Linked DNA regions of Styela clava. The protein of the gene in region 4 purifies or fractionates together with the protein of the main gene of each other region. This does not show direct contact. Links are inferred from orthologs where the notes say so. Each region holds a gene or a part of one and is shown on either strand. Other genes may lie near its edges. The genes, in order: 5'-3' exoribonuclease 1-like, uncharacterized protein LOC120342158, interleukin enhancer-binding factor 2 homolog and regulator of nonsense transcripts 1-like.

The links.
Region 1: the proteins of regulator of nonsense transcripts 1-like (region 4) and 5'-3' exoribonuclease 1-like purify together in Homo sapiens (affinity purification with western blotting; 4 studies listed by BioGRID and IntAct, with this or other methods). This does not show direct contact. The link is inferred for Styela clava from reciprocal best matches to the Homo sapiens genes UPF1 and XRN1.
Region 2: the proteins of regulator of nonsense transcripts 1-like (region 4) and uncharacterized protein LOC120342158 purify together in Homo sapiens (co-immunoprecipitation; 5 studies listed by BioGRID and IntAct, with this or other methods). This does not show direct contact. The link is inferred for Styela clava from reciprocal best matches to the Homo sapiens genes UPF1 and CASC3.
Region 3: the proteins of regulator of nonsense transcripts 1-like (region 4) and interleukin enhancer-binding factor 2 homolog purify together in Homo sapiens (affinity purification with mass spectrometry; 3 studies listed by BioGRID and IntAct, counting the BioPlex papers as one, with this or other methods). This does not show direct contact. The link is inferred for Styela clava from reciprocal best matches to the Homo sapiens genes UPF1 and ILF2.

What each region holds. Positions count from the first base shown.
Region 1 is NC_135252.1:5,380,727-5,388,988, reverse strand, and holds the start of 5'-3' exoribonuclease 1-like, read right to left. Parts: upstream 3,111-8,262; 5' UTR 2,891-3,110; coding exon 2,816-2,890; intron 2,172-2,815; coding exon 2,040-2,171; intron 1,591-2,039; coding exon 1,490-1,590; intron 443-1,489; coding exon 235-442; intron 1-234. Other genes in the region: uncharacterized protein LOC144420883, read right to left, coding at 4,301-4,717. UniProt on the Homo sapiens protein: Major 5'-3' exoribonuclease involved in mRNA decay. Required for the 5'-3'-processing of the G4 tetraplex-containing DNA and RNA substrates. The kinetic of hydrolysis is faster for G4 RNA tetraplex than for G4 DNA tetraplex and monomeric RNA tetraplex.
Region 2 is NC_135252.1:6,799,000-6,806,495, reverse strand, and holds the start of uncharacterized protein LOC120342158, read right to left. Parts: upstream 3,353-7,496; 5' UTR 3,253-3,352; coding exon 3,160-3,252; intron 2,717-3,159; coding exon 2,657-2,716; intron 895-2,656; coding exon 724-894; intron 142-723; coding exon 1-141. UniProt on the Homo sapiens protein: Required for pre-mRNA splicing as component of the spliceosome. Core component of the splicing-dependent multiprotein exon junction complex (EJC) deposited at splice junctions on mRNAs.
Region 3 is NC_135255.1:20,622,840-20,631,013, reverse strand, and holds the start of interleukin enhancer-binding factor 2 homolog, read left to right. Parts: upstream 1-4,783; 5' UTR 4,784-4,875; coding exon 4,876-5,022; intron 5,023-5,888; coding exon 5,889-6,038; intron 6,039-6,555; coding exon 6,556-6,666; intron 6,667-8,174. UniProt on the Homo sapiens protein: Chromatin-interacting protein that forms a stable heterodimer with interleukin enhancer-binding factor 3/ILF3 and plays a role in several biological processes including transcription, innate immunity or cell growth.
Region 4 is NC_135257.1:5,899,320-5,907,090, reverse strand, and holds the start of regulator of nonsense transcripts 1-like, read left to right. Parts: upstream 1-4,667; 5' UTR 4,668-4,742; coding exon 4,743-4,835; intron 4,836-5,184; coding exon 5,185-5,298; intron 5,299-5,750; coding exon 5,751-5,923; intron 5,924-6,740; coding exon 6,741-6,830; intron 6,831-7,755; coding exon 7,756-7,771. Other genes in the region: growth hormone secretagogue receptor type 1-like, read left to right, coding at 358-493, 799-979. UniProt on the Homo sapiens protein: RNA-dependent helicase required for nonsense-mediated decay (NMD) of aberrant mRNAs containing premature stop codons and modulates the expression level of normal mRNAs.

The DNA.
Region 1 (8,262 bases), on a different chromosome or scaffold from region 4:
ACATAGATATTCACTCGTTTCCCTCTGAAAAATGCCCTGTGCAAGCATCCACCGATATCTAACGTTAGTGAGGAGCTATTATTTTTGGAAAGACCGAAAGCTTTCCCCGGATCAGATGGTGGTCATGGAATTTGAACCAGAGATGTGTATCGTGCCATGGCAACCCTTCACAATAAAGAGCACCCACAAAGATTATTCATAATTTAAATATGATAATTCTGATTTTCAACACACCTCATGACCAGACAGATAAATCCTGATTCCTTGCCATGCTGGGTCTGTAGTCACTTTGCTCTTCACCATATATTCAAGTTGCTCTTGAAGTTTAACCATAAATTTAGTACCAGGTGTAATGCAATTTGAATCAAATCTTTTGGCATCAGGTAGGACTTCACCCTTTTTCAATGCCTTTTGAATATTTTCTTCTGCTTCTTTGGCTGATCTGATTTGTCAAAGAGGTATAGCATTCAGTTTATAGAGAAACTTGTAGAGTTGATAAGTTGAATTTTCCCTAAACACACTATACCAGGGGTGGGCAACGTTTTTGGACCGGGGGGCAAAATATTTGCTCACCAACACTGACGAGCCACTTAAGTGTGACGTAAAAAGTTACATTTTATGAACAATATTTACAGTGTTACAAAAGCAAATGTGGAAAACAATAGGGCTTGTGCCAAAACTAAATGTAATCGAAATTTCACCAAATTTCTTGAGTTCATCTTTAGCTAAAACATCAAAATTTGGTTTTAGTTTGGTTGTGGCAGCATCAGGCAGGCAGGATTAAATTACCCAACGGATTTGGCCTGCGGGCTGTAGTTTGCCCATGTCAGCACTATACCAATAAAGAGTATGATTAGATAAAATCAGCTACTATTTAGCCCGCCCAGTGTTTCCCAGCCGAGAAAGAATTCATCTCCAGGGAGAAATTTTTGTTGTTTTCGGGAAGGAGATACAAAAATATTACTTTGTATTCGATGTAGTTTTACTAGTATTGTTCATTCATTCAATATCCTTGTAATCCATAATTATGAACAAACTATAAAGCCTATTCAAACTGTGCAACCTAGCCAGACTAGGCAAAAAGAGGAATGTATCGAAAAAAGTTGCGAACCACTGATATAGATAGATTCTTTGTGACCATGCTGACTACCAGACAGGAAGAGTTAGTGCCAGGGATGGCTAAAACCGAATATTTTACTATTTCGAATACATTCAGAGAAATGACTTCTGAATATGAAATATCGACTACATTCTAAATTGGGGAAAGTTTATGTCGGAAATTACATTGTTGATCACATCTAAAACGACACAAATATAAAAGGTCATTGTTTTCTCTGTGTGCTTTGAATGTAATCAAAAATATTCTATTTGTTTTGGACATGGCAGCACTGTAATACAACACAACTTCTGCTTGAACAAATGTTACACGGTTACATGGATTACTTGCAATAAAGAAAAAAACATTGTAAACATGAATAATTTGTGCAACCTAAATCTTCTGCCTCTTTGTTGGTTCATTTTTGCACGTGGAGCGACACCATCGACTGCCATGAAAAACACTTTTCTTGGACGAACAATACGAAATAAAACCTGTACATACATGAAATTTTGAAAGGATTTTTATTGAAATTTTAATACAAAAGCATTTTCTGTCAATCTCTATTTTTAAAGCTAGCCAATGTCAAGAAGTTTAAGGCACTGTCCATATGGCAGGCTTGCTGGTAAACACCATACTATAAAATATGTTTTGAATAAAGTCTATGTATGAAAATTTTGAATATTTCCGAATATGGTCAAGTTTAGAGAAAGAAATTTCGTCAAAATACAGAAAATTATATTGAGTTTTTATTTAAAACAACACACGGTTATAAAAAGTGGAGAGAACCCTTTTTTGGTCAACATATCCTACGTTAATTGCTCATTTTAGACGCTTTTTTAAGATTATACTATGTGCTATATATCAAATATAGTAGACATCGCAATCATACAGACTGAAATAAACAATGAACTTTGAAGTAAAGAATTTGCACAGCAAGTACCTCTATATAGTGAAATATATCTTTAAAGATTTGCTCTTCGGTAATTCGAAAATGAGGATCATCATCATTTGGATGTGAACAAACATGAATGATACCATTCATATCCAAATACAGATTGTCAAACTCTGGAACCTAAAATAATAAATTCAAATAGTGAATCAATATACATATTGGATAATCCAAACAAATAGATTCTATTGATTTAGATCAGGGGTGTGCAACCTGCGGACCACAAGGAAAACTTGTGCGGCTCGCAGAGAAGTTCCAATTTTGAATGATGTGCGGTCAGAGAAACGAGTTTTAATTTAGTTTAATCTGGTGAGTGCAAGTAATTCCAATCCCTTTGCGCTGCAACGCCCAGCATATGACGTTACAGTGCACTAACAGCTAGTTTGTAGTTCGCATGTCATGAGATCAGATAATCAAGAATTTTGTGCCTGCAACTACTAGAAAGCCTATGTCAAATACAGGTGCAGCCCGCAGTTTCACCAAGTTATTTGTATCTGGCCCTCCTGTATTAAAGGTTGCACACTCCTGATCTAGATAGACAACTAGCTAGCATTTTTCTAACCAAGGACACAGCGTGAATCCAAAAATCTATTTTTCAAAACGCTATTACAATATTATTTTGTGTCACTCTCTGATTCACAACAAGATAAACCATGATTTTGATATTAATACATCACAATATTATTGGACAACGGCAATATGCTATTCCTATAGCAGTTTGAAAATTTGAACATAGTATCATAATAAGTAACTTAATAGCAATAAACCTGATATTCTTTCACCACTTCACTGAGGCACGGATATCTTTCACTGATCCATCGATAAAACTTGGGAACACCCATGTTCTAGTTATCAAAGCCTAATATGATTACAAAATATAAAACCTAACGCTTCATGAATATCATGAAAATAAGTAAAAGTAGGTAAAAAAACACACAAAACCGGCATTTATTGAATGTTGAAATAACCATGACTAAAAGTTTAGCGTTTCAAGAAATTTAATATGACCTTCAAATTTTTGTCGACTATCAGTTACAAAACACAGATAACAATTGAATTGAGCCTCACCCATATCTCACATATCTCTGTGAACACAATAGCGCCTATGACAAAAATAACATCCAACACTGATCCATCGATAAAACTTGGAAACACCCATGTTCTCGTCATCAAAGCCTAGTTTGATTACAAAATGTAAAACCCAACGCTTCATGAATATCATGAAAAATAAGTGAAAGTAGTTAAAAAAACACACAAAACCGGCATTTATTGAATGTTGAAATAACCATGACTAAAAGTTCAGCGTTTCAAGAAATTTAATATGACCTTCAAATTTTTGTCGACTGTCAGTTACAAAACACAGATAACAATTGAATTGAGCCTCACCCATATCTCACATATCTCTGTGAACACAATAGTGCCTATGACAAAAATGATGTCCATGAACATAACACAGACTACAGTAAATGTTGATAATTGACATCAAGTGTGAAGTGTTAAAGCACTTCATAAAAGCTTTGTATATAGCTACTACGCCAAAAAGAAAAAATCATGAAAGGTAAGATTTCCAAACAACCACAAACTTGAAACCTTGATGAAATTAGACTTCTATATATTGACTATTATTAATATTTCAAATTATTTGATAATACCCAAAAGTGTAGCTTAGAAGGCCATCTTACTATTCTTGGAATTCCTGTATTGGGGTACAGATGTCTGTACAGTGTATAGATGGAGTTTGGATCTCCAAAGTATATGCGAGAAGCAATTACCGTAATAGTCCACTACATGAAAACTATCAATAATTCAATAATAGAAGTTAAGTTTAAAACTAAATATATCTCACAAATTGTTCCAACATAGAACGTATCAATTACTTTTGACAATATTTTGAATTCACTTCGAAAACGTTCAGTAGTTATTGTTTCTCTGTCATAATATGCAATATTAACTTTATCATATAACTGATAAAATATACTGTATTGTACATTTTTGTGGATAATATCCATTTACCGTATGTCATGTAAAATAGAAGTTTATCCACGAATTACATAGGGATTTTAGGACTTCAGTGAACTTTTTATTCTATTGGCAGTGTACTATGTAACTCTTATCATACAACAGTACAAGGCATATCACCAGATCTTCGTTCCATTTTACTTTGACAGTCTTGTGACAATGAGATACATTTTAATGATCCAAGTGCATTATTATCAAAGCTATATTATAGTTTGCTGTTAACAAAACCTGTATCATCGTGTTTCATTTGCACTTTGCATTAAACTACTATCTTGTCCATCAGATTTTTGAACAAAAGTATTTACAGCAGCTTCTGCGTCACCATCTAATCTTCTATCAGATCCAGTAAAACCACGATCTTGGAGCATTTGTAACTGCTTAACTTGAGCTAAAAGTTCTTGTTGAAATGCTTCAGCCATCTGTCTTTGCGCTGTGCTCACTTCTGCCGCTTCTTTACACAAGGTTGAATATTCTGCTTTGACTTCTTCTAATTTTTTCAAAAGAGATAATTTATTCTCGGCATCATCGTCATCATCATCTTCACAATTTAAATGTTTAGAAAACTCAGCATCAATTTTCTTTTCAATATTGTCCAATTTCTTCTCTGCCGATCCAACCATAGTTTCGAACTTGTTTAATGCTTCTTCCATGATTATCTATTTTCTAATTACTAAAAAAATATTTTGCTAACTAAACAAGTAAGGAATGATTAAATACATTCTCCAGATCTACTTGTATAATATATCTGGATATAAAGGCGGTACCACTATCAGACTATTGTAAGAGTGAATACTTGGAATATGCCAAAATACTAAAATATAGTGTACTGTTTATTTCATTATTTAACAATAATTTTGTGAAGCAAATAGAAATGGAAAAATATTTCTGCAAGCAAACAATATCAGAACAATGCCATGATTTATGAATAAAAGATTGGATTTAAAGTTAAATGGTGGACGATCTGTTACGGGTATATTGCGAGGTTTCGATCCTTTTATGAAACTGGTTGTTGATGATGGAAGGGAGCGCAGAAAAGATGGGACCACTGCACCTTTTGGAGTAGTGGTCGTTCGTGGAAATTTGATATTGACGTTGGATGCATTGGAACGGATACAATGATTTTAAATTGAACTAATCGAAAACGACAAAAGAACCCGATTCCCCAATCCATGACTTGTGCATAGACTGCTATGGAACATTCAATCTATTTACCAAGCTTGTTTTTTTAGGAACAATTTTTTGTCACTGTGTTGTTTTTGCAATGAAATTGACCTAGGCCTACAGCACCACCATTTTGCATCAGGAAGTGTTTTTTGTTCCATGTTTTTCGTAGGAAAAGCACTGTTGTGTTACACATACGGGCCATTCCAAGCAAAAGTTGAATTTCATCAAATTTTTCTAAAGTTTAGTGAAAGTAATTTTTTTGAATTTTTTTATATCAAAAAACATTAGAAATTCATGGACTGCATCCATTTCACCGAAAAAGTTGAAATTTCACCCAGGTTTTTGATAGTTTATAAAAATAATGGCCTGAAATGTAGAAATTCTGGTATAATTGACATATTTCGTGATGATTCCTGACACAAAGTGTTTGTGTGATACAGTTATTTCATATGAAATAGACGCACTGGATTTAAGTTAACAAAGTTTAAATGATTGCAGTGCTCTAGGGCTTTTTCTCACCCATTTAACGATTTATTACCAGGATTTTAAGAGATGATAGAGGCCGCTGTTCCAAAGTGGAAAAATGTCTTGTAATGTCACGTCCTGCAGTGTCACATACAAGATGAACATTATTGGCATAGATTTACAGTGTTACATTAAGTAACTTGAGCAACACATAGGGGGGTCCTTCAGCTACTGCACCAGAAAATATTATGGGCTCCTGCCGTGCCATCACAAAAATTTACAGCACAACACAATGTAACGTTAATCCATGGTGGATTTTCCGTCCTCTAGTGTCACGCTATATTTTACTGTATTTTTTAGTAAGTCTCGTGTGTAACTTTTGTGCAATTTTTTCCATATTCCAGTATTCAATGAAGCAATTGATTGGACAATGAAACAAAAACATGTAGCTGAAAATGTAAAAATATATTGCATCTAACAACGTGCAAAATTTCTGGGAATTGTCCTGTAGTGTCACTTGGCATGGCACCCATAGCCCATACACGTCGCACATTTCAATTTAAAAGGTAGAAGTTTATTACATTCAATTATTCACTTCAATTTGCTGTTTTTGTTAACTTGCTTTTAAAGTACTGCCCGATTGTAAATCACGTTTTTCTGTGGTTGTTCTATTCTTTTTTGCTGGGCGGGCATGTACATTGTACACTTTTTAACTTTTTTCAAGTTATGCCCGTCTCCAAAGTATCTCTGCATTTTGTTTGTCTGTTTACTTTTTGTATTGTTTATGTCAGAGAACCAAAATGATTGATTGATTTCACTGTTATAAAAGCTGACAAAGCTTATAGGAGTATAGTCTGACAGTGGAGTTGTTTGCAAAAATAAGGGTTCATTGAGAGCTAACAGATAATTTCTGAATTTCCTCAAAGTTTCATAACAGTTAATTAAGACATATGCAAAGTAACAGAAAAAAAGTAACTGATGAAGTGCTAACCTTTACGAATTACCACGTAAGTGCTTGTGAACATGCGCCTCCTAAATAATACAGTACAATGGGAAAAACACTAACAGTGTCACAATGTCTGAAGGTGGTAACTTCAAAAAAGTTCGCTGGGTTGAGTCAATCTCCTGATCTCATAAAAAAGGGATACATTTAGGGTTGCCAACTATGAAAAGTTTCAATAAAGGACATAAATTATCGTCATCATTTATTTTGTAACTTGCAGGAAAGTACAATATAAACAATGAAATAAGAATTATATACAAGCTAAAAAGATATATTGAAGCAATCTTCATGTGTTTTTCATTTAATGTGTATTTAACATTGGCCCAAACAATGTTAATAAAATTGTTATTTATTTGGCTATTTGAGCCGGACTAAAGCGAAATTAAAAAGAATAATTCAAAGCTTGCAAATACATAAACGGAGGCGATTTTTACTCCTCCGGGCAAAACGACGTTGGAAAGAATAAAGGACAATCAGCATCTTTTCTAAATGCTAAAAAGGACAAGGACCGAAAAGCTTAATTCAGTAATTAAAGGATTGTCCTTTGAAATAAAGGACGGTTGGCAACCCTAGATACATTCAGCACTACAACAGACCTGCAAGCCGGCATACGGAGTCTAGTATAGTTTAGTACCACAAGTACTTCCGGTGGTCGTAGCGTAACGAATTTTGCATATGTTACCGTATTCCTAACCATCACCTGACTATGTCATCCAAAAATTACGTCATTACGACGTCACAATCACGTTATAAAGCTTGTCAAATTATAACTAAGATCGCCCAAAACAGCATCTGCGCCGTCGATAACGAACTCACTAACGCCAGTGGTCTCTCTCATATCGGGATCACTTTGGTCGCGACGAGAAAACAAGAGAAATAGCTTGCTAGATTATGGGTGATCGTCTACGCGTTTTGGACGACTTTGGAGGTCTTTATTGCGCCACTGCCAGGCCAACTAGAAGTGCATGTGGTACATGCAAAAAGCAAACAACTTTATGCTCTCAAGAACCACATACCGGTACCGGTAGCATGGTACCGGTACTGTCAGACTGTGGTATTCAATTAAGTTTTTTTTACACTGCATGTAAGCTGGTCATTGGGACTATTTATGTCAAAAATATATTTTCTATTTTACGATCGTCTCAGAAAAATTGGCTAATGGATGTTTCCCCGAGTATCTACTCCCTTACTGTCCTTATTTACTTCGGAACATTGGCCAACCAGCAACATGCAAAAAGTGACGTAACAATAGGCCTTTTCGCATCAAGGCGTGGTTGTAAACGTTGCCCCGTTTTTCGCATCTTTTAATTCTATTTGTTAGTTTTTAGTTGTGTTTGGAAAATTTAGGTACAGAAGTATGAATCAAATCTTTCAATACAATAATCATTTTGTATTATTACAGTCTCAGGAGTTTTAGTTTAATTGCAGTAATCGAAATTTAGTGTAGAAATAGCTGTGATGGACTAGGCTAAAATTCTCTACCGCTACATTTAAAAAACAGATTATTGAGTGGTTTCAATCAAAACGATGGTTTAAAACATATTCCTCAGTGCATATGTGCCA
Region 2 (7,496 bases), on a different chromosome or scaffold from region 4:
GGATCTCATGTCATGCTGAAAAAATGCTCCTTTTGTTGGAATAAATGCAGGATCTTCTTCTTCTTTTCTCAATCTTTCTTTTTCTTCGTTATCAGCTTCTAAATTTCCTTCTTGCTTGTGTTGCTCATTATCAGATTGCTCCTGTTATTTGAGATAAAAAATTACACGATAAATAAATGATTAATACACTGGTAGATAATGAAACTAATATATACTATGATCTAACGAAAGCTCACAATATACTGGCTATTTTGTGGGAAAAATCCGTTATTCATCACTTTAATAGAATATTGTTTGGGCATCCTTGTGGCAAAGGACACAAGAATTCGAAGCAGGAGGTAGACAAGGAGAAAGGGCGCTCCAGAAGTGCGTGTACCAATATGGAGGTAACTAATTTTGTTCGCCTTTTTTACCTCAAGTTGTGTAAAGGGATTGAAACCTATGGGCGTTTGGTATATTCATTTGGCTAACACAGACAGTCCCCTAACTTATAATAGAACTGAAATAAGGAAAATCTGAATAAAATTATGTCCTAATCCTATCCTGGTACACACACTATGGGAGTACCGGAGAAAGAACCTACAGTTCAATGAAAGGACATGCAGTTTAATACACAATGTCCTAGTACCATCTGTTTAGTATTAGTCAAAATAAATTCAAAGCTATTGATTTCTGAACCCAAACCAAAGATAGATTAAATGTTTGAGAAACAACCACACGTACTTTTCCATCACCACTCTCTCTTATAGTTTCAGAAACTTCTTCATTTTCCCGTTTTATTTCTATGTTTTCATGTTCTTTGCCTTGATCTTCCTTTACTTTTTCGTTATCATTTTCTGGTTGTTCTCCTCCAGGGTCGTCTTCTTCAAATTCTTCATCTATTGAATGCCGAGCCTAAATAGGAAAAAAAACAATATTAATATAAACCGAGAGAGAAAGCCCGGGTCGAGTAAAGCGAAAATAGAAAAGACGCATGGTTCTTCCAAACCAGGAGTTCTCAACCTTTTTACCCCCCGAGTCACGAAACAATCAACGCGAACCCTCAGTAATCAGAAACCAAACAAAGTTGTGATATATTGTCTGACAATTTGCTGCTACGACAATTTATTGACCAACTGCTGTGACTAAATTAACTGTTCGCGTTAATGTTATTACCCTTGTCCTACGCCTAACTAATGAATTCTTGTAACCTCTTCAAATTTCGATATGCATATCACTTTCTGCAATGATCGCAGCACATTGTCTTCTGAGATTTCACAGTTTGGCTGCAAAGCCGTGCATTTCACATTGTTGCGTCACAATCACAACAACGCAAGATACAGGAAAATCTATGCAGAGTTTCAATTGGCAAACATTTACCTTTGGTAGTTACTTAGTTTTTCTCAGTTAGAGGACATTGAAAAAAAAAAAACACAAAAACACGACTGCCATCCAAGTACCCCAGGTTGGGAACCCCTGTTCTAAACAGTCTAAGATTCAAATAGACAGATCGAGTGGTTGAGAAGTTTTTTCGATACACTCCTCTCTTTGCCTATTTTTAATAAAACTCCTCATTCTTCCCTCAAAACACAGAAAAACTCTGTTACCAATCGACAATTGTTGTTATGTTTTATAAGGTTCTTCTCTATTGATACTCGCAAGCCTCTGTGGCTTTTATACAATTCCATGTAGGCCTACATATAATTTGTCCATATGAATGTAATACAATAGCTAAACAAGTTAGTAAAAGGCTTACTACATAAAAATACAAAGTAAAATTCCCGAAAACTATAAAATCATGCCCCGGTCTGGAAACGCTTTGGCATTCATGATTTACAGAAAAATATATCTAAAATTAGATGGAAAAAATGATTGGAAATCATCTAACCAATTCATATTTGGAAAATATGACATAATAGATTCTCTAATACATGTTATAGCACAGGGCTACTCAACTGGCGGACCGCGGTCCGAATCCGGACCTTTCGAGTATTGGATTTGGACCGCACTTAATTATTTATTTTGGATCATTAGCCCCACTTTTTGAATTTCCTATTATAAAATGACTTTCACAGTTTTGAATATATACGAAAAGAACTATAACACCATAATGAACAATTTTAATTTGCTACTAATCATTAGTCAGTCGAGGAAGTGCTCGTTTAAGGATGCCGAAATATCATTTCTGGAAGACCGGACCCAAATAATTTTGAAGTTTTGTTTGCGGACCTTCGATAAAAATAGTTGAAAAGCCCTGTTATAGCACATGTTCTCGAAGAATGTTCCAATATTCAGATATATAAAACATAAAACAAATACTCTCGAGATATGGCGTCTGGCACCAAAGCAGATGCGTGAGATCTCGTGATCTGTGTGTATGAAATTTGTTCCCATTTGTTGTTTTTTCAATTAAAACTCTTGAATGCTACAGTAAAATATTTTTTCTGTGGAATAAATTTTTTCTAAAAAATTTTTGATTTTAATTGACAATAAATTAGCTTTCTTTATATTTAACGGTGTGCCATATAGTGGCAACATGGAAGGACCACACCGCCAGGCTGACCCGCAACGTAGAAGTTTGTATTCATGCTTATAATTGATGTCTTTAAATAGGTATGTGCTGATGTGTGAAGTGTGTTGATTAATGCAATTATAACTGTTAAATATAATGAGCTACCTCTTCATCTACGCTTTCATATTCCGATACGTCGAGGTCATCGTCATCAATATCAGATTCCTAAAATATGGTTAAAAGATATTCAACGAAAATCATAAATCCAAAGAAATCACCAATCTATATTAATAAATCATTCCCGGAATACAGTACTGGAATAAAACACAACTGTTTTGAGGTTTCACTTAGTTCAGTTCAACCAGTGTAAAAAATACAGATTTACTAAAATAGCTACAAAATATGACATTCATTATACCATTCCTGCATTCACTACAAGAATTTAAAACTGAAGCATCGAATATCATCCGCATTGATACCGGTACTGTTTTCCTGTTTGAGTAGACTACTTACAGACTTTACTATTCTTTTCATCGCATGACCACAAACTAAAAGGTATTTAACTGACGAGAGTTAAGTTTTTATTATATTGACGAATTCACTTAGCCCAGGAGCCGGTACCGCTGTTGCAAATCACACTGGTCCATCGGTACGGTACCGGTACTTACCGAGCCGTTCATTGATTTCTCATCTGGTTTTTCATCCAAACCTTCGCCCTCCGAATCGTTGACATCTTCTTCACGACGCCTTCTGCGTGACATACCTGTATCTGTGTAAGCAATGTTATATTGAACACCCCAAAATCGACTTCAAGTCGAAACAGTGCCAAAGGCTTCTACACAACGACAACTTTACGATTGTTGGTGGCTGAAAGCCTGAAACGACGCGGATGTGCTATGAGTCTCTATGAGCCAATTCGGCAAAATTTTACTATGATAATTAGAGAAATTTACACGGAGAGATAATAATCTATTGGACACCAATGTAGATATGATTCGTTTTGTTTTTTATGTTGTTGTTGCTGGTTTTGGTCAAAGCGTATATATATTACAAGCGAGGCAACGCTCAGACAATGGATTCCATCTTGTGCGTATTATACTCGGCCATCCAACAAGGCGCCCTATGAAAAGTTCGCACACAATTATTGAAACATACCAATTATTTTCACTTATATTTTAGGTAGAAATGTTTTGAAGGTCGCGTTTTGAAGTAGAATCTTAGTCGAACATGATGATATTCTTTTATGTTTGCCAAATTACATTTATAATACATTTACATTCAGTGGGGAGCTGTAGTCGAAACGCAACGAAACCGCGTTCCGGTTGTTGGACATTTTATTGCATTTGCGTTTCTGTGTTTGTGGCCAAATTTAACGTATAGCTTTTTTATTTATTTCTAATTGCTTCATATATTTAGGTAGCATCAAGCTTAATGTTTATGTCCACCCTTCGGCTTCATTCTAACCCTTTTAATAGCTGACTTATTCGGTTCTGTACAACAACACGACAAAAATTTTCCATAAGACTCCATTGTTTCGCGTTTCCCAAATATGGCACAAATGTCGTACATGAACTTGGGTAACATTGGGCAAGTTGTTTGCCGGCCGTTGGTTTTGGTCATGTTCATTTCCTTGTTAGTATTTTTCACGTATGAAAAATACTGTGACAGTTTGCACTTTGCATTAGCGTACAACTTCGTTTTCCAACAGTCTTTCGATCTCTTGCTTTCCGAATACATAACAATTGAAATTATACACTGCAAAGAAAAAAAGCACAAAATATAATTGGCGGGCAAAGACTGCAAGGTCAACCTACCACTGAAGATAATTTTGACTGATACAAAAAAGGCAAAATAAATATCAATGAGAATGTGAATCATGAACTTGCCAAGTAAGAAAAAAGAGCTATATACAATTTTCCAAAATTTAGTTTTACCTACTGTAGTACAAAAATTAATATTGCAATAATGGAGCATTGAATACAGGTAGGAACAACTAGCAAATCTATTCTATAAAGTTCAGAGAAGAACAAAACTACAATGTCTTTATAAACATTTTATTGCATTTGATAGCATGATAAATTGATAGCATTATGAAACTATATTAATTTTTCCGACTACTGAAATCAAGTTATTTAAAATTAAATCAATTATAAGATTTTGGCATCATTCTCCATTATTGGCATATTACTGCATCACAGTATATTCGGCTAATTAATTTACGATCAAACATTTTTAAGAAACTGGGTTTTAAACATTTTGGTTCTTTCAGTTTGAGCGATTTCTTCATGGCAGTAGATTGGTGTAGTGTAGAAGTAGAATATTTTTAATTTACTTCTTGTCTCATGTCTGCATATGAGTGAGTCTTGCAAATTTTAACAAAACAGTTTAAAAAATACAATGGTAGCAGCGAGATCTATAGCGATGCATAAAATTTGTAATTACTTTTTCATTCGAGAAATCCACACTGATGATCCAGCATAACGTCAGATTATCCGGATAACGAATATCCGGTTACCCGAGAGGTATTTTGCTATCTGATATTATCGTGACAGTTAACCGGATAATAAAGTAGTATTTCTGATAGTTCTGTTAGATGACGGCGACAGAGCAAATAATTTTTAATTTTATTCACACTTCATTGTCTATTATAGACATCCGTGAAATGCTGGAGTGAACTTCACTATCAGATCACAAAATAGGCAAAACGAATGTGATTATTATGCGATAGAAGGGCGCATTCGCTGCATATAGTTAGGTTGGAAGTATAAGCAACGCTGTAAACCAGCGATCGGCAACCTGCGACTCCGTAGCCACATGCGGCTCTTTGTTCTCGAAGCTCTGGCTCCCGTGAATCAAAATGGTTACCATGATATTGATTAACATTTCACCGGATTGAACATTTGGTACCATGTTCTTGGAATGCAACAAACGAGCTTATAGCAGTTCTTGTCAGAAGCATTGGGATTTAACAAAAAGGGAGGCATAGAGCCAAATACTCTTTAATAATTCACATCACAGCGGTTCCCAAAGTATAGGTCGCAAGCGGTAAAATTGGGTCGCATTAAGATGGTTCAAGTCTGTCAAAACAATTTTTTTTTTCCATTTTTCAGTTTTTTTTCATTTCGGCATACAGTGTATGAGTGAGTGTATTATTGCCTCATTCGTATTTTATTTAGCTTCTTCTTAGTAAGAACTAGATTATTGCATCATAGGTGGTTTTCCGAGAATTTTAATGACCAGCACTGCTGCTACCAGCCATATTCATTCCAAATGTTGCTAAGCTAAGCGCCTTAAAAATGATAATCCTGTGGAGGCGCTGCATTCATGAATTTACATATTTAAATCAACAGTTTTGGACATTATAATTTCAAAAACAATGTAATTTCAGATTGTTTTCATGAACTCTAGTGTTCAAGAATACCTATGTCATACCGTTGAAGACGGCTCCATTGAATGAATACAGGGCTATTGATTCGGAATCCAAAACACGATGTATCACTGTACTATGATTGTTGAAATACTTCGATTTAACAACCAAAAACTGGGCATTGTCCCCAAACAGCACGTTCATTTTTGACCACTGAGGCAGTTCATATATACTAATATTTGATGTAGAAAGTTGTATGGACTTTGTTGAAGCAAAAGCAGTAGTGAATAAATAACAGAATATGTAAGAAAGTAGACAAGGCAATTGAAATGGTTGTAGTCCGAGTTTACTCAAGTCCTGAAATCCAATTCAGGTCGAAACAATATACGATAAATTTGAGTGGTTATTTTTAATAGCAGAAATCAAGGAAGGCACCCTGCTTGATTTATCAATAAAATTTAAAGCATTTGCCTACGACCAATTAACACTGCTTCAAGAACGAAACTGAGATTGTTTCATTAATTTAGTTATGCGTCACATTTTGGAGTGAAATCCTGAAATCTGCACTTATGGATACTAAAAAGTAGAAGGAGTGATTGTCATGGATGTTCGAATTCATGCACGTTTACCCAAGTTGATATGTTTTGTTATACTGCAATTGGGGAATTAGGTTCGTTGAAATCCCGAATTTCAAAATTGTATCTATAAACGTCAAGGCGAATTACCGGTACGTGTCAAAGCGTCGCGCTTTGTTTTTTTTCGAAATAATCGAGCGATAAGTGAAAGGAAAATTGAGCGGAGCAATAAGATAAAAGGTAGTAGAAGCCAAGGAGAATGATTTGTTATGTCAACTCGCGTCAAGCAACTCCTTATCTGCCGGAGAGACGTTTCGTACCTTTATTTTAGTGAAACACACCTCTATTTTCAAGCGTGGGCCATATGACAGCAGTGACAAAACGCATATATATATATATATATATATATCAATTTGCGCCGCGCGATCCCGTTTTTTTAACGTAGGTTACTAAAGCCCAACTTGACGGACTTGGCTGTTCTTTGACAATAGCACTAGACCTCACGGACGCTACAAGTTATAAAATTAGTCAAACATAACAATTCATCATAAAATGAGTGTCAAAAGAAAGGTGACAGAGGAAAACAGAGTTTAGTGGTAACTGAGAGAAAACGTATTCTTTTGCCCACAACAGTAGTAAACCACAGTGTCAGCAGTACCCAAAAACAAAAATAAAAAAAAATTGGTATGTTATTTTGTTTGTGCTTTATATATCTTGCTTAAAATGAAAAAAACGCCACCCATGCAATATATATAACAATAGGCTGATTAGAAGTGCTCTCATTTTTTAATATATTCAAAGTAACTAAATTTGCAGTATTTTGATCACTTCTTCCCGACTGGGCCTCCTCCAAGCCTCCCTTCTTTTGTAAAAGCAAAAACATTGTAGCGCTTCAAATTCAATGTATATTCTACACGCGCGACTCTGCTATAATACGCAGCGCAGGAAGAACAGGATTCTTATCGCGCAAATAATTGGAACCTCGATTGGTAAGTGTTAACGTTTTCCAAACGAACTGACAAATATTAGCCGCGGAAAATTAATAAAATAGCATTCATAAAAC
Region 3 (8,174 bases), on a different chromosome or scaffold from region 4:
AAGAAATATATGACATTGGAAGGCATAGAGAGTGAGGGATAAATGCTAATTGGAGTGCTTAGTATCAGCAATAGTGTCAGCATCAGCATTTCTCTGATTACAGGGAATTAATAAAAATAGAAGAAAGAACACCAATGTTAAATTATAAATTACAATAGTTTTTCATTCTGCTTTTAAGAAAATTACAAGCAGGACATTCATGAGAAAACATGCAAATGTTAGTGAACCATGCATGTTTATTCATACATGCGCGCAAGAAAGAAGTTATAAACGGAAATAAAGGGTGACCGTACATTTGAACCCATGTACATTTGAACCCATGCGTATATCCACGGGTTCAATCTACATGCGGGTGCTAAAACCCATGGGTTAGGGTTAGTATGGGTTTAACTATCCGTGAAACAAAAAAAATTCCATAGGTGCAATAGCATACAGGTGCAATTGTCATGGGTTCAAATGTACGTGGGTTCAAATGTAATGGAACCGAAATAAAGAGATGACATTGTGAGATAACATGAAGCACATAATTTGAGATGACATGATGCTATAAAGATATCGGGTATAAATGCAAAATGGGAAATCCTACATCATTTACAGTAAGGTTCAAAATGTGAACACAAAAATTGGGATATCCAACCAATAAAAAATTATTACATTTTGAGAAATTAATTTATAATATTTTATAATAATGAAAGCATATAACACCAGTATATCATATTGATTCGAAATGTTGTCACACAATTACATGTGTTTCCATGCATAGTTTGGCATATTAAAACATGAACTTAACCAAAGGACTTAGTAAATGCTAGGACATTATCTGGGGGAAGACATATTCATATTTTCACTGCAAGCTTTCAAGATTACACACTGAAAACTATTGCTACAGAAAGTAATCAGGAAGTTCATTATAGAATATATATAACAGCATATGCACCCACCCACATAAATAACAAGTTTATCTTATAACAAGAACAAAATAACACAGTATGGAGTAGTAGCAGAGAAATTTAGCAGAGTTATTTTAGGATTGCAGACAATGCATTAGTACAAAGTGGTTATGATTCATGAATGAAAATCACATCTTATTGATTGACTTCAAAACAAACAAGGACTAGACAAAGTATATAATATCGTGTACACAAATGCTACAGTCCCCATAAATAGTGTTTAATAATTGGCAAAAAATACTGAAAGCAAATTAAAACATAATTCTGTATCTTGGAAAAATGTAATCTCAAACAAATACAATTTAGTATGTTGCACGTTATTGGAAGAAAAAAATAAATATTTGGAATTTGTGTACACAAGTTGAAGTCAGTGACATTAATTTGAACAGTAGCACAAATAGAGCTATTAGGTTATTAAACGACGCTTCCGTAGTATGTGCACTGAGATGGCGTAAAACCTGATAACCCTAACCTAGTACACATACTATGTTCAGGCTGTGTGCCATCTTGGTGCACTTGCTGGGACGGGATGCACACACGGGAGCACCTATTAAACATATAAAGGTATTCAATCTCAGCGATTGTGTGATCTCAGTGATTTTAGGTAGGGTTAGGAACTGACTTTTATGAGAATGTCTTCAAGACACGAAAATGGAAATCACAAAAGTAAGTGAGATTGCATACTAGTGGCAAGTCGAAATGATAAAATATTTGTGGAAGTAAAGGATCAGACCAGGAGAATGCACTCTTTCAAATGTTTGTGTAAATAAAATGATAACTATAGGGCTGACTATGTGCTATTAGGTGAAATCTATGAAAAAGTTGATCTGTCATAAAAATGTTTAGATTAGCTGGATGGATAACCTTGGATGCAACAATTGGAATACAGTTTGCATAAAAAACAGTAGCAATAAATAAACTATAAAACAAGATTAACAATGAGAGTGATTTTTATGATTGATCCAAGTTACATTAACAAAAATAGGAAAATTATTTTAATAGAAGCAATTATGGCAAATAAACAACTCTTACTAACATATGGATTAGCAAACATACACTAAAGTTTAATGTTTTATATGCCTTTTACAAATAACAAGTTTAGGTCTGATTTCTCATTTAACATTTGCCTTATAAGCTAAAATGCTGAATAAATATTAAATATTACTAGATTAGAATGGTTCCTTTATGAAATTTGAACATAATCATATTCAAAGAACTAGTGAAATACTACACGAAGCTATTGTGTTAGAAAGTATCTTCAATACATTTTTGTACCAGGGTAAAGTTACTATAACAAAATAGGAACCTCTATCAGCTGAACGATTATTATCTCTTTTTAATGAATTGTCCGAAGCAATGATCAGCAATGATACCAAATCTGAACTGAAACGTAAGTTTCAGCACTTCAAATTCATAAACATTCTCAAGTTTCAGAATATTTGCAGATTGAACCAATACACAGTGGAGTATGTGAGCCGGTCATCAACTTCAAAACACAGTTTTGAAGTACAGAGATAGTTTTGGAGATAAAACTATATTAAGTCCCATGTCACAATTCATTTGTGGGCATGTAGTGGACATATGGATCGTTTTGTTATTATGTTGTTGTTCTTTGACACATATTGAAAAACCGCTTTTCTTGTTGATTACTGGACGAATTGCTTTGAAATTTTCAATGGTTTAAGATTGATTTGCCGGAAGGCTATTACTTTCATATATTTCCAATATTTCTGAGAGCTGCATGGAATTCATTTCTTTTGTGCTATGACCTCATCAAAAATTGCCACCATGTGGCGGTTCATTGTGCGAGCGAGTCACGAGGTCAGCGAACATTGGTGCTTCTAGTGTTTAGCGAACCGTCAAAGGTAAGCTTGTCTACTGCTTCGCTCAGGCTGCGTGTCCATATATTTGAGCATCGCTCTCTTGTTGAAAGTGCAAACTATAAAGTTCTTGATCCCCTTTCTGGCACAAATAGACTCACTTCAGTCATTGCAGAAATATCCCTAAAGACTAGATAACCTTAATCTTCATATCTGAAATTATATCAAAATACTTGACAGAGTTTCAAGTAGTCATTATAGACTTAATGTCATTTACGATCAAATTTTATAATGGAATTGGAAGTTCGGGCTTTTAGTGACTTTTACTACAGTTAATTAACATGATATGTGTCTCGCTCGGATTAACGATAGGATCTATCTAGGTACATATCTATCCCAGGAGAGAGATAATGGACCAGATGGTGGAGGAAGCTGTAACCGACCAGCGGTTATGTGAACCACCCAACTGCGACGAGGAGTCCAGTAATCCTCTCGCACATAACCATGGGGTGACGAGCGTATTCCTAACGATCTCCACATTTAAACCTGCGAACCTACACAGACTGACATAGTGTAAGTAATAAGAGGTGCGATGCCAAGCTTATTCCGCTTACAGGCTTAGCACGAAGAGCCACACCACTGCTAATTTGAAGTTAGACAATTCCTGAATTCAGCAATTAAATATACCGGTATCAAATAGTTAGAATGCATATTAACATTTTGCTTAGGTCTGCGGAGTTCACTCAAACAGTCAAATGTCTTTAGCAGTTTCACTTTTTAGTTTATCGCTTGCTCCACACAATGCTGCAATGTTACTGGTAGGCTACCAGTCCCAATTTGACATACCGTGTTCGTGCCTACATCTTGCCACACAATAATTCTACCGCGAAGGCATACCGGTAGTCCGATGATACGGTACCGGTAGTCTACCGTTACCATAGTAATTAAAAGTCCAAGTCTGGTAACTCTGGCATATGCAGATACATTCAGGCTACATCATGCTAAACTTAAGAACCTTAAAATGTTCGTACGGTACCGGTATACGGTACGGTAACACTGACACCATGCCCTTCACTTTCTCAAACGTCGCCATCCCTAATCTGCCAACACAATTCGACCGCATTTTGCCATCCCTGATCTGCCACTACGCTTCGACCGCATTTTGCCATCCCTAATCTGCCACCACGCTTCGACCGCATTTTGCCATCCCTAATCTGCCACCATTCGACCGCATTTTGCCATCCCTAATCTGCCACGCTTCGACCGCATTTCGCCATCCCCAATATGACTTTTCGACCCTATTTTGCCATCCCTAATCTGCCACCTTTCGACCGTATTTTGCCATCCCTATTCTGCCATCCCCAATATGACTTTTATGCTACCACCACTATAGGGACAACTAGTGTCACCTCTTTTTTTTACTAAACTAATGCGACAGGTCAAAGGTTATGACTGTCGATACGTTACCATCACGCGTGATCAACTTCTGCATTGAGTTGCCACATTTGAAAAATATCACGAAACGTTTTCTATGTAAAACCTTGACGTTATGAAATATATATATATACTGCAAAAAATTAGCCGAAGCAATAATTCTATTCGAGAATTATATTAGTGAATGAATAAAAAAAAATTGTTGCCATAATTTCTGTACATTTATTTATTATTTCACTGGATGACTTCCCGTAGTCTCGATTTCTCCTTTGATCCGCGCTTGTTGCTAAAGTTGGTGGCCGCTAATGTAGAATATTACGTGAACTAAAGGCGTAATTAGGCGTCTATTGAAAAATTAATTTCTCACTCTCGAATGAGATGCGCTAGGGCTATTGCTAACAGTACCATAGCCCACCAGAGTACCGATACCTGGATACGGTACGATAGCTTTCAAGAATTCTACCCTATTGAATTTGTGTATAGGTAGTTCACGGTATTCTGGTACCGGTATTCCTGTACCGGTATTTGGTTCCAGAGTCCAATAAATTAGCTACCGTTACCAATGCCGGTCATACAATTTCATGATTTTTTCTCAATCCTATGATTTCAAATCTGAAAAGTCTAGGAATTTAAATATAAAATTTTCTAAATTAACTTGACAAAACATCAAAATGAGAGGTCGAGGAGGACGTGGACGGGGTGGAATGCATCGTGGAACAAACAGAGTGTTTGTGCCTCACATTCCATTTGATTTTGTGATGTGTGAACAAGCTTTCCCAAGAGTGAAGCCAGCACCTGATGACGAAGCTTTTACCCAGGTCAGTACGGCACACTTTACAGATCGAGAGTCATTGTCTCGTTTTAGAGAATTCCATTCTGTTGATGAGCAAACACCCTCTTTTCGGGGACGTCAGGAGATCGTTTTTTATCAATATCGGTAAAAATATATCATATTAGGCGTGGCGGTGTGGCTCAACGGGCTAAGCGTTAGGAATACGCTCGCCACCGCACCTCTAATTACTCTACGTGGGTTCGCAGGTTTGAATCCCATGTAGGGATGGTTATGTGCGAGAGGATTGCTGGACTCCTCGCCGTCGTTGGGTGGTTCACGTAATCGCTGGTCGGTTACGGCTTCCTCCACCACCAAGTCCATGCTCCCGAAAACGAAATAATATAACTTTTCCGATACCCAACTTGGAATGGTAACCGGACGAGAGGCCGTGGTTCGCCATATGGATAAGCCGTCTTATCGGCTTTCCTCTCCCCTGGGATAAATATGTAAATCCTATCCTAATGAGGTTGCACTAATCTAAATGCCCCGATTTAGATTGTTATCGAGACGAGCATGGTGCAATAAGACGCATCTGCCGTCATGCCATATGCTCCTCGTCTCTGAGACTCGTGGACTGTTTGTTTTTTTAAATCAAATAACTCGTATCATTCATCCTCAGTTTTAATATATAAATATTTTTTTATCATAAAATGCTTACTGTTTTTTCTTCGATATGGGGAGTCTAATTCAACATTTTTTTTTACCTAATAATCATAACATTTCTGAATCGTTATTTCCACTATTCTAATTTTTCAATACAGGAATTTCTATTTTGAAAGCCTGTTTTATCAAAAATTTGATATCTATCATATTATTTCAAACAGTAATTATTTTTAACTCACTTTCCTACAGGCTCTAATAAAACGAAACCAAGACTTGAACGTGACTTCGGAAGAGCAAGCGTCAATACTGTCGTTCGTGACTAAAATATGCAATGCAATCGATTCCATCATTGTATCACAGCCTGCTGGGTTTGATATTCAAGTTGATGAATGCAGACAAGTAAGTTTTGTTAAGTTCTTGGGCTACTATCGTGTTTCCACGAAATTGAGACGGGGTATTATTTTAATTTTCTCTCGAAAAATAACAATAGGGCTTATTTGGGGAGATGTATTTTACTTTCATCTATCAGAAACAAAATTATGAAGTAGAGAATTACGAGATTTTCCATCTCTTTTTTAAACAAAATTCTGGACAAGCGTCACTCACTCGGAACTATTATTTTTTTTTGATTTGAGTGACTTTTCTGAATCCCCAACTGAGCTATGTATGCTTTATCAATATTTTAGTCAGGGACAGAGTTGTATTTTTAAACTCATTATATTCAGAGCCAGGGGAGATGCGTCGGACTGGACTTGCTAGCTGTTATAGTCTTATGTTGGCAATTAGAAATTTTGGATAATAATAAATTTTTAAATGTTCAAGTTTCAAATCTTAGTATAGTGTAGATTTCTCCTACTTTCTTTTTGAATAAGTATATTTCTTTTCAGCCATAGCTCATTATTTTATTCTTTCATAGGTCGGAGACTTCAAGAAAGGAACAATGACAAAAGGCAACAACTTAGCTGAAGTTGTCATTATTCTGAAAACTTTACCAACGAAAGAGATTGTCAAACAACTAGCAGAAAAGGTTAACAATTTTCTTATTATGAAAGAACTGTTTCCACTCTGAACAAAACATTGTGAAAGTTGGCACTATTATGTTAAAAGCTATTTTGAATATCATTTTGATGAGGATTATACAACATTTTTGTAGGTGGGCCATATAACTTCAGACATCTAGCTGTGTTAAAGTTTTTCTCATACCAAATCGTTTTATGCACCTCCGTTTTAAACAAACTTCACTGTTACACATGAATTTACTGATTCTAAAGTCCTTTTCTTTCTGGTCAGACATTACATTCCAAATTTATTAACTAGATTACCTTTATTATTCTAGATTTTAACTTGTGATGCAACCAACCTAATAGATCGGAAATAAATAGTTTGGAATTGGGACCAAAATATACAACTTTTATGTAGATTGAATATCTTTATATTAATAGATCTTTCTCTGTAGTGCAATGGTTACCACGTTCGCTTTACACATGGAAGATCCCCGGTTCGAGCTCAGGCGGCAAACAAGCAATCTTCTTATATTGCTTTATATTTCAAGACTATTCTAACTAAGAAACAGTTTGTCATGTAATATTATTTCTCTGTGACATGGGCGAGGCCACGGTTTGCCATATATTAGGCGCTTTTGTTGTCCTACCTCGTTTAGGTTAAACACAAAAATTTGGAATATCAGATTTATTTATTCAAAACGTTGACTGGTATCCAGTTGAGAGACGGGGCTTCATCATTTTAGTAGAGTCATCTTACTGGTTTTCCCCTCTCTTTTTCTCTAAATAAAAATGGAAATCTTATCACAGAATAATAAAATTTTGCATGTTTCTGAATATAACCATGACATTCGTAAAATACTGAATGTTGTGCAATGAACATGCACATAAATCAACTTTGCTAATTTAGGAAACTCTTGTCAAGTGTTACAAGCGTTTTAAAGGCACGGCAATACAATTACTCAAAAAGTTTATAGGGTGTCCGTAAAGTTCTAAAATTTATAAAATTGCAAACGGAATTTATCGATGCTATACATTGTTTTGGCCCTCACAGATGTATTGAATAAAGTAAAAATACCTAAACAATTACTGATTAAAAGACAACAAACCTGGTTGAGATATATTGAGACCTGTTTTCATAGCAAAATACAAAGGGACTTTATGGACACCCTGTATTTCATAGTAGTTTTGATTTTAGTCATACGAAATGTAACAAAATAAAATTTGTGAAAATGTGATATTAGACTTTTGAACCACTCTCCACTGATAGAGGAGTTGCATGTTTTCTTGCAAAAGATCCTAAGTCTTCAACTAAATGTGAGAAGCATACTGGAAAGTTGAAACTACTTAATGGTTTTATATCACTGCGGCCTGCTGGCCGAATGTGACCCGCACAGAAAAATTATGCAGCCCGTGGAGAAGTGCTAAATTTCAATTATGAGGTGTGGCCTGTGATACGAGTTTTCAATTTTATTTAATCTGCTAAAAGTAATTCCAATCCCTTTGCGTTGCATAGCCTATACTTGAGTCCAAC
Region 4 (7,771 bases):
ATAATCTTGATTCGACATACCACTTCGAGTGTCACCGCTATTTGTGTAACAACTTTACGTATGCGTTGCAACGAAAGCTTTTATACACACAATATCGCATCTAAATTTTATATGAGTGATCAAATTTATGATACGTTTTAGATTGTTCAGTGGTCAAGATTTTTATTATTTGTCAAATAAAAAAATTGTAAGCAATCGCTATCATTATCTCTGTTATCATTGAAATTGAATATTTCTTACATCAAAGGTCGCCTAACTAGTATTTCTTATTCATTTTTATTTATTTGTTAACTTGTCTCAGGTTCCAAGGTGAAATTGTTCATTAAATACCATAAGATTGATTCTGCATTATTTTAGCCTACCGCATGACAAAAATATTGAATCTGAGGGACCTCTTCACTGTGCGAACGAAATGGTTGACTCTCACAGTCGCATATATTCTATTGCGAATATCAGAATGCCTTAATCCACTTTTTTACAACCTGTCATCCCGGTAAGTTTTTTCTATGCTTAAAAAATAAAGCCATTCTGTAGAGTTCGAACGGACCAGATCAAGCCTAACCTGAAATTCAAAATTTTATCGGGGTAGAACATTATGATAGACTATCTAATTCTTAAAAGTGGTTATTTCCTGCATTCCTGGTATCACCTGACAAAAAGTTGCAGATCGCAAACAGTGTTTATATTTCTTACCATCCAATTTCGGCGGTTATGAATTAGCAGAATGAAATTGAAAACTAAATTTCTTATTCATACAGCCCACTGAGAAAAAGAACTAAACGTTTTCTGAAAATACAGAAAAACTACGAATCGTCAGACAGCATCAACGTATCAGAAACAAAAGAAGAAAATGTCAGAAAAACAAGCGTTACCGTTGTGTAAATTAAACACCACCGGATATAAGCTGGGTGTCAAATATGAAATGTACACGGGAGTCACAACCAACTCATATAACCCAGATATGGCGATAAGAATGTAGCCCTTTGATGAGATAGAATTGAATGTGAATGTATTATTCATTTTATAGCAATGTGTTGTTTATATGTCTTGTTCGTGTGTATATAATATATCTGCTTCGTCGAATTGACCCGAGTGTATATTCTTATGACTTATGAAAACACATCAGAAACTCTTAATTTCAGTGCAGGAATGAACGTACTAAAATATGATCAATACCGTAGCCAGCCAAATTCTTATTGTGGAAAAGGGGGCAAACTTTTGTCTTGTACAATGACGTAATACGAACAATGCTTACTCGTGTCTTTTGCTCAGAACAAGGCTAGATAAAGCAGCCACTGATATCTAACGATGTTTTGACTCTGCACAACCTTACTTCGCTGTCGAAGGTATCCAAGCTAGGTAAGCGTGAGTTTCATCTATCGCAGTTGGTTCATTTGGAGAATGAAATATTGATGGTGAGGAAACGTCGGGTTTTTGGCCAATCGTTCGAGATTAGAACAAACTGGTGTTGAAAAATACGTGGAATTGATGTCTCGGTGTAAATGCCACAAAATTGCGGTTCCCAAAGTAGAAGTCGCGAGCAGTAAAAATGGGTCGCATTACGGGGATTCAATCTGTCAAAACAAACTTTCTCTTTTCATTTTACAATGTATATATGTATGTATGTTTGTTTGCCTCAAAAATGTAACAATATTTGCATAATAATTAAACGGTATAACAGAGACGGGATACATGTTCAAGACCTTACTGGCCTAAGACACAGATGTGCGACATAGGATAGGATTTACATATTTATCCCGGGAGAGAGGAAAGTCGATAAGACGACTTAATCATAGTCCGAACCACGGTCTCTCGTCCGGTTACCATTTCAGGTCGGGTATGGGATTGGTTAGCCAGTTATTTGTTTTCGGAAGCATGGACTTGATGGCGGAGGAGGCGTAACGGACGAGCGGTTACGTGAACCACCCTACGGCGGCGAGGAGTCCAGCAATTCTCTCGCACATAATCATCCCCGCATGGGATTCGGACCTGCAAACCCACGCAAGGTAATCAGAGATGCGGTGGCAAGCGTATTCCTAACGCTTAGCACGATGCGCCACATTGCCGAGCCCATGTACCCCAACAAGTTCTTTCCATTTCATCATTATCGCAACATGTGGCTCCGAGCAGGTTTGAAGTTGATGGAAAAATGGCTTCTACAATACTGAAGGTTGCCGAGTGCCGACCCGTAGTTTATGCCAATAATTATTCATACCCTTCACCGGTTTTAGTCATTGACGTGTACGGCTTCAGCTAATTCTTAAGATTGTGATATTCCAAGAACTCCACAAGTCCATGCATCTGAAAACAAAAAATAACTGATTCCATAAACCACATGGACTGTTAACCGGACGAGATTCCATGATTCGCCATATGATTAAACCGTCTTATCGGCTTTCCTCTCCCCCAGGATAAATATGTAAATCTTATCCATTCATGGACTTCCATTTGTGACATAATTTTTTTCCCAGATGGTACATTTTGCGTCGTTTATACCTAACATTTAGAGACTGTGACCAGTAACTAAACTTAGGCTAGAAAGACATTGCAAATAATATTAATAAAGAAGAAGAAGACATTCGCATTCTAATAAAATGATGATGACATAATTGCGCTTTTCCATAATTCGCGATAACCCCCATAAAACCAGAAACGCCAGAAAAACTCATAACCCGCGGGCAATAAAACCACGGCTTGCTTACCTCGCCCTCGGCACGTGCTCTGTTATCATCAATCTATATTTCATTTATATAATTGTTGAATATGTAGTGATGTAATAAAAATGCATTGTGTCGTCATTGAGGCTATGCTAAATTTGAATTTTTCGAGTTATAAACAATTTCGAGTCTCAATCTCAAGTACGTTTCGTTCTTGCTCGAGAATGGTGAAGTCATTCAGCGTATGTTTATGGAAGTGTACTTGCGCAACATTCTAAACCTCGTTTACACATTGCGTTTACACCATATGATCATGCAGTTGGATACTCTTCCATTAGGTGGTGTTTTTTAGTTGGACATTCTGCTGATATTTGCCAGAAGGTTACGGAACTTCCCCCAGTTTGTCAGATTTAACGTTATCTGTTAAACTGCGACCGGTGCCTATGCGAGCAGAAACCCCTACTGAATTAGGTAGTACCGGTACCGATACAGAATTAGCCTACGCGATGTTTTTAGTAGCCTATCACTTGCGACCTGGGCATTGCAGAAGATAACAGACAATTCTGTTCAGATACCGTAACTTAGAGACAAATGCTGAAAGGCCGTTCAGATTTAGGATTGATCCACGGTCAGGCGGTGCTCCTGTCCTGTTTGTGTTCGAAAACACAGATAAACATTACCGGTATATTAGTGGTATTAGGCACAGTACTGTATGGGAGGAAATTGCTTGTTTATCAGTTTATAGACTATGTTTTGACATACAGCAGTACAGACACTTCTGCACTTAGTACAGTAAACGAATCTATAAATTGATCAGCTGTCATCATCTTTAATAAGCCAATTAATATTGAAATAATTAAACAAAAGTGCCAAAAAGATGCACACAATACCGGTACCAGTATCCTTCTCTTGCTGTCTTGATATGTAGACTATGTATGTTTATTGGGTCTTATTACTTACGGTACTGAATAGAGCGCAGAAGAGATGGGGAAACATTTTCTTTCATTGTTTATTAGCTTTCGTGAAATTTTAAACAATTTGATGGGAAGCAGTAGCGGTATACAGTAGTACTGTAGTAGGGAATGATCACGAGTTTATATCATTAATCTTCAACATCTTTAAATAGCCTCACATGACGCACCCTAACCTACTGCGTTCAGGTTGTGCGCTAGCTTGGTGCACATGAAAGAAAAATGTTTCCCTCTCTTCTGCGCTGTTTTTCACGCACTTTCCCTCTCTTCTGCGCTGTTTCGCGCTCTATTCAGTAAGTACGGTAGTGAGACCGATGTTTATTTGCCTCAAAAATGTAACAATATCTGCATGATAACTAAACAGTAACAGATAATTAAACAGAAACAAAATCTCAATAAATATCTATCACAAACAGCGAAGTTTCAGAATAGTCTATTTCCTTGAAGAAGTTGCCTAAAACTCAGAAAGTAAAGATAAAAGACACAGTTCTCCCATTACAGCATTACAGCATTACAAAATGTCCCTATATTTAATTATTTGGAATCCGGTACTTTATTTCAATAAAAAATAATACTCTATTAATAGTCTCTGAAATGAGGGCGTCTGGCACTGCGGCAGATCACGGCATGTATCTATAATAATTTAACATGCTTCAGCCGCCAAAATTCTACTGTAAAATTTTTTTCCTCCATTAAATCTGATTTTTTGTTTCGAGGAATCGAATGGTAACGTTTTTAAATCACGCTTCCTTCCATTTTATTGCGCGGTGTCTGTTTGCCAATAGGGAGGCCCAGACTTCCTCATAAAGAAGAAGTCTGCACTCACTTCATTAGTACAGTAGTATAATTGATGTCTGGATGTAGAGTCTATTCTTGGAATAGGAGAACTGTGTCGTACTATTACTCGAACATATTACTCACAAAGCTACATGTTTGACTATCGATGGGTCTAAATTAGACCAGGTTTATTACTGGGAAGAACTAGACTGTTATTCTTTCCCATTCTGGTTATTTAAACGTTGCCATAAATTAGTTCAGTAAAAATTTGAATTTGAATCAGATATATACAGATAAAACTGAAATTGTGAAATAGCGAGGACAGTTTCTGATTGTAATGAGCAGCGTTGATGCATATGGGCCAAGTTCCCAAACTCTGACATTTTTGGACACAGAAGATGGCGATTTGACTGTTGGAGGAGATACCCAGGTGAGAGACGCTTGTTTGAAATTATTTTAAATATATCAAAACAACCGGAATCAACTGCACTTCACCTCTCAGGACACAGTACAACTTGAAAATTATTTTGTAATTGGTTACGGTCTGAATCAAGTGGATGGGGTGCAACTTATAACTCTGATACAGTTATAGGCATAAATATATAATTATAGACATATTTATTCAAGTTTTAATAAAACTAATACTTTGCTACTGTGAGTTGCTCTTATCAATTCATTGATTTAATCATGATTTAACTGTGTTTTTAAATACAGAATTGCTTAAAGTAAAAATTGCTACAGTATCACAAAGTAATATTCAAAAAAATTCTGTTATTCAGGCAAGTGAATATGAGTTCACAGACTTCACAATTCCATCCCAAACCCAGACGCAAACTCAGACACAGCAAAGTCAAGCAAGCCAACTTGATATTGCAGAGAACAGTCAGAGTCAGGTAACTCTTTATTCCATTATAAGTCATATGCTAAAAGTATTTTAACATGGTAATAAGTTGGGAGAATTATAACCAGAAATGACTGTGTTAATCTTGAAACAATGATGAAGTTTGCCTACGACTTCATACAAGAATAATTTTTCATTCAATTCTGCTCTTTTGTTATAATTTGTGATTTTGTTTAGCATTGGCTTGACAATGTGAGTGATCTCGTTTATATTTCAATTCGACAGAGTCATATGCAAACGATATGTTTGACAACTGCGTACTCGTGTTTTATAATCATCAATGAGCAGTGAACATTATACCAATACTATCAGGACTGCTTCTGGTAGAAGAACTCGAAATCAATTTCTCAATCTTTTTTTTGTGATTTCTCTCAACTACGAATTATCTAGATCAGGGTTGTCAAACCCGCAGACCAAATATTATCAAGTTTTATCTCCATTAAGGTTGGTGATGTAGATGGAGTCAATCACAATGAAGAAGTGGGGGATGGTGAAGATATTGGTGGATTACAAGAACATATTCATGTTGCCACCCAGGGGGTTGCTGATCTGAGATTTGAGGAAGAAGACGAAGAAGATACTTATTATACTAAGGATCTTCCCGAACATGCTTGCAGGTGAATTTTTTATTAACAAGCACATGATTAAAAAATAATTGAATGCTCGGAGCTTTTATTATTATTTTATCTGTTTTTGTTTCCTGATTTCAAACAGTGGGGATAATTTTATGAAAAAATTTTGTTTGTCAAGCATAGGCCTCATAGCGCCTAGTAATATATTTAATAAAATGATAGAAGTTTATGTTACTTACACATATTTCTTAGCAGCAATATCTACTAAATTTTGTGCCTGTGCCTCCTATGTGAAGAGAAACGATCACCCTGAATTAATCATAAAATACTGCATTTTGACATGAGTTAAATTCAGTTCATTAGTTCAATTCTTGCCAAATAATGATTTGATTATGCATATAAGCTTTGTTATTATTATGTAGGGTCAGCCTGCAGTACTGTTTAAATTTCATCATACAGACTGTTCGGTACAGACAGATTTTTAAAATTCATGTAATTAGCTTAATACTCCTACTCAGTGAAATAAGGTGAAAGAGGTTGCTCAAACACATCTGGGGCTAATATGATTGACAAATCATTAAGCTTTCTACCTAGATGCTGCTTATTAAACCCGCTTTCTCGTATTTTCGCATCTGTTCAAATGAGAAATATGAAAATGAAAAATAAGTTGTGGCCATCCTTGAGGTGCTATGAGAAAAATTCCAGGCAATTTTCGAGACTGCTGTATAAAAAGAAGCCTTTCATATTTATTAATATCATCATTTATTATTAAACTCACCATCACTATTTTCCTGAATATATATTCATATAAGAATTAGGTATATATCAAAAGGTTTGTCGCATTAACAACTGTAATTTTTAGGTATTGTGGAATTCATGATCCTAACTGTGTTGTGATGTGTAATACAACAAAGAAATGGTTTTGCAATGGCCGTGGAAATACTTCAGGAAGGTAACATGATATTTTATAAAATTATTTTTTCTTCGAATCATTGATTTGCAAGGGTTAATTACTAATTTCTGGTTACCCTCAGCCGTTTTTTTTTTAAATTTCAGTATTTGCTTAATGCTCCAGTTCGATCGTGATTTAACATACCATATCATCCAGGTTTAATAATAGACACTTGAGCAATACTTCAAAATCACCATATTTGATATTTATATTTTGTAAGAAATAAAATTTACTTTGTTTTGTCCATCTCAATTTTTATTTGTACAATTTATTTTACAGTTGTCCTTACTACTAGAAAAATGTCATACACAATAATTGCAATCAATTAGTGATTTTGAATGAGTTATTATTTCAGATTCACAATTGTTATGTGCAATCTCTGTTATGGAGTATAGATTTATCAGCTTATTATATTGATTTTATGCTTACTTTTTGCATTAATAATCTGTTGAAAAGTAGATTAGTTATTCTAATCAAATATGATATGAACAAGCAATCAATTTTTTTACTCTGATATTGTTTGTATTTGTTTTCTCTGAAGCGAGTATTAAGTGATAAATTGATTCAGATATTTCGAGTCCATTTGAAATTTTTGGTGTGCTATGTTGCAAAATATTATGAGTTTGTCATCTTACCCTTTACTGTCTTTAATAAATTGATCAAATAATTAAGGTTAAATTCAGGTATATTATTTTGGCTGTATAAGGCAGTGCCAGGGAATAAACTATCCCTGTGTTCAAAGGATATTAATGGTTTGAACAAAATCCAAATCAAAGATATTTTATGTAGCCTACTTCAATACAAGGATTTATATTATTGAAATCCATTTTTTGTACTAAAATTTTAAATCAAAGGTATTTTATATACTTCCAATACAAAGATTTATAATATTGAAATCCATCACCTATATTTGCTTTGTTTACAGTCATATTGTGAATCAT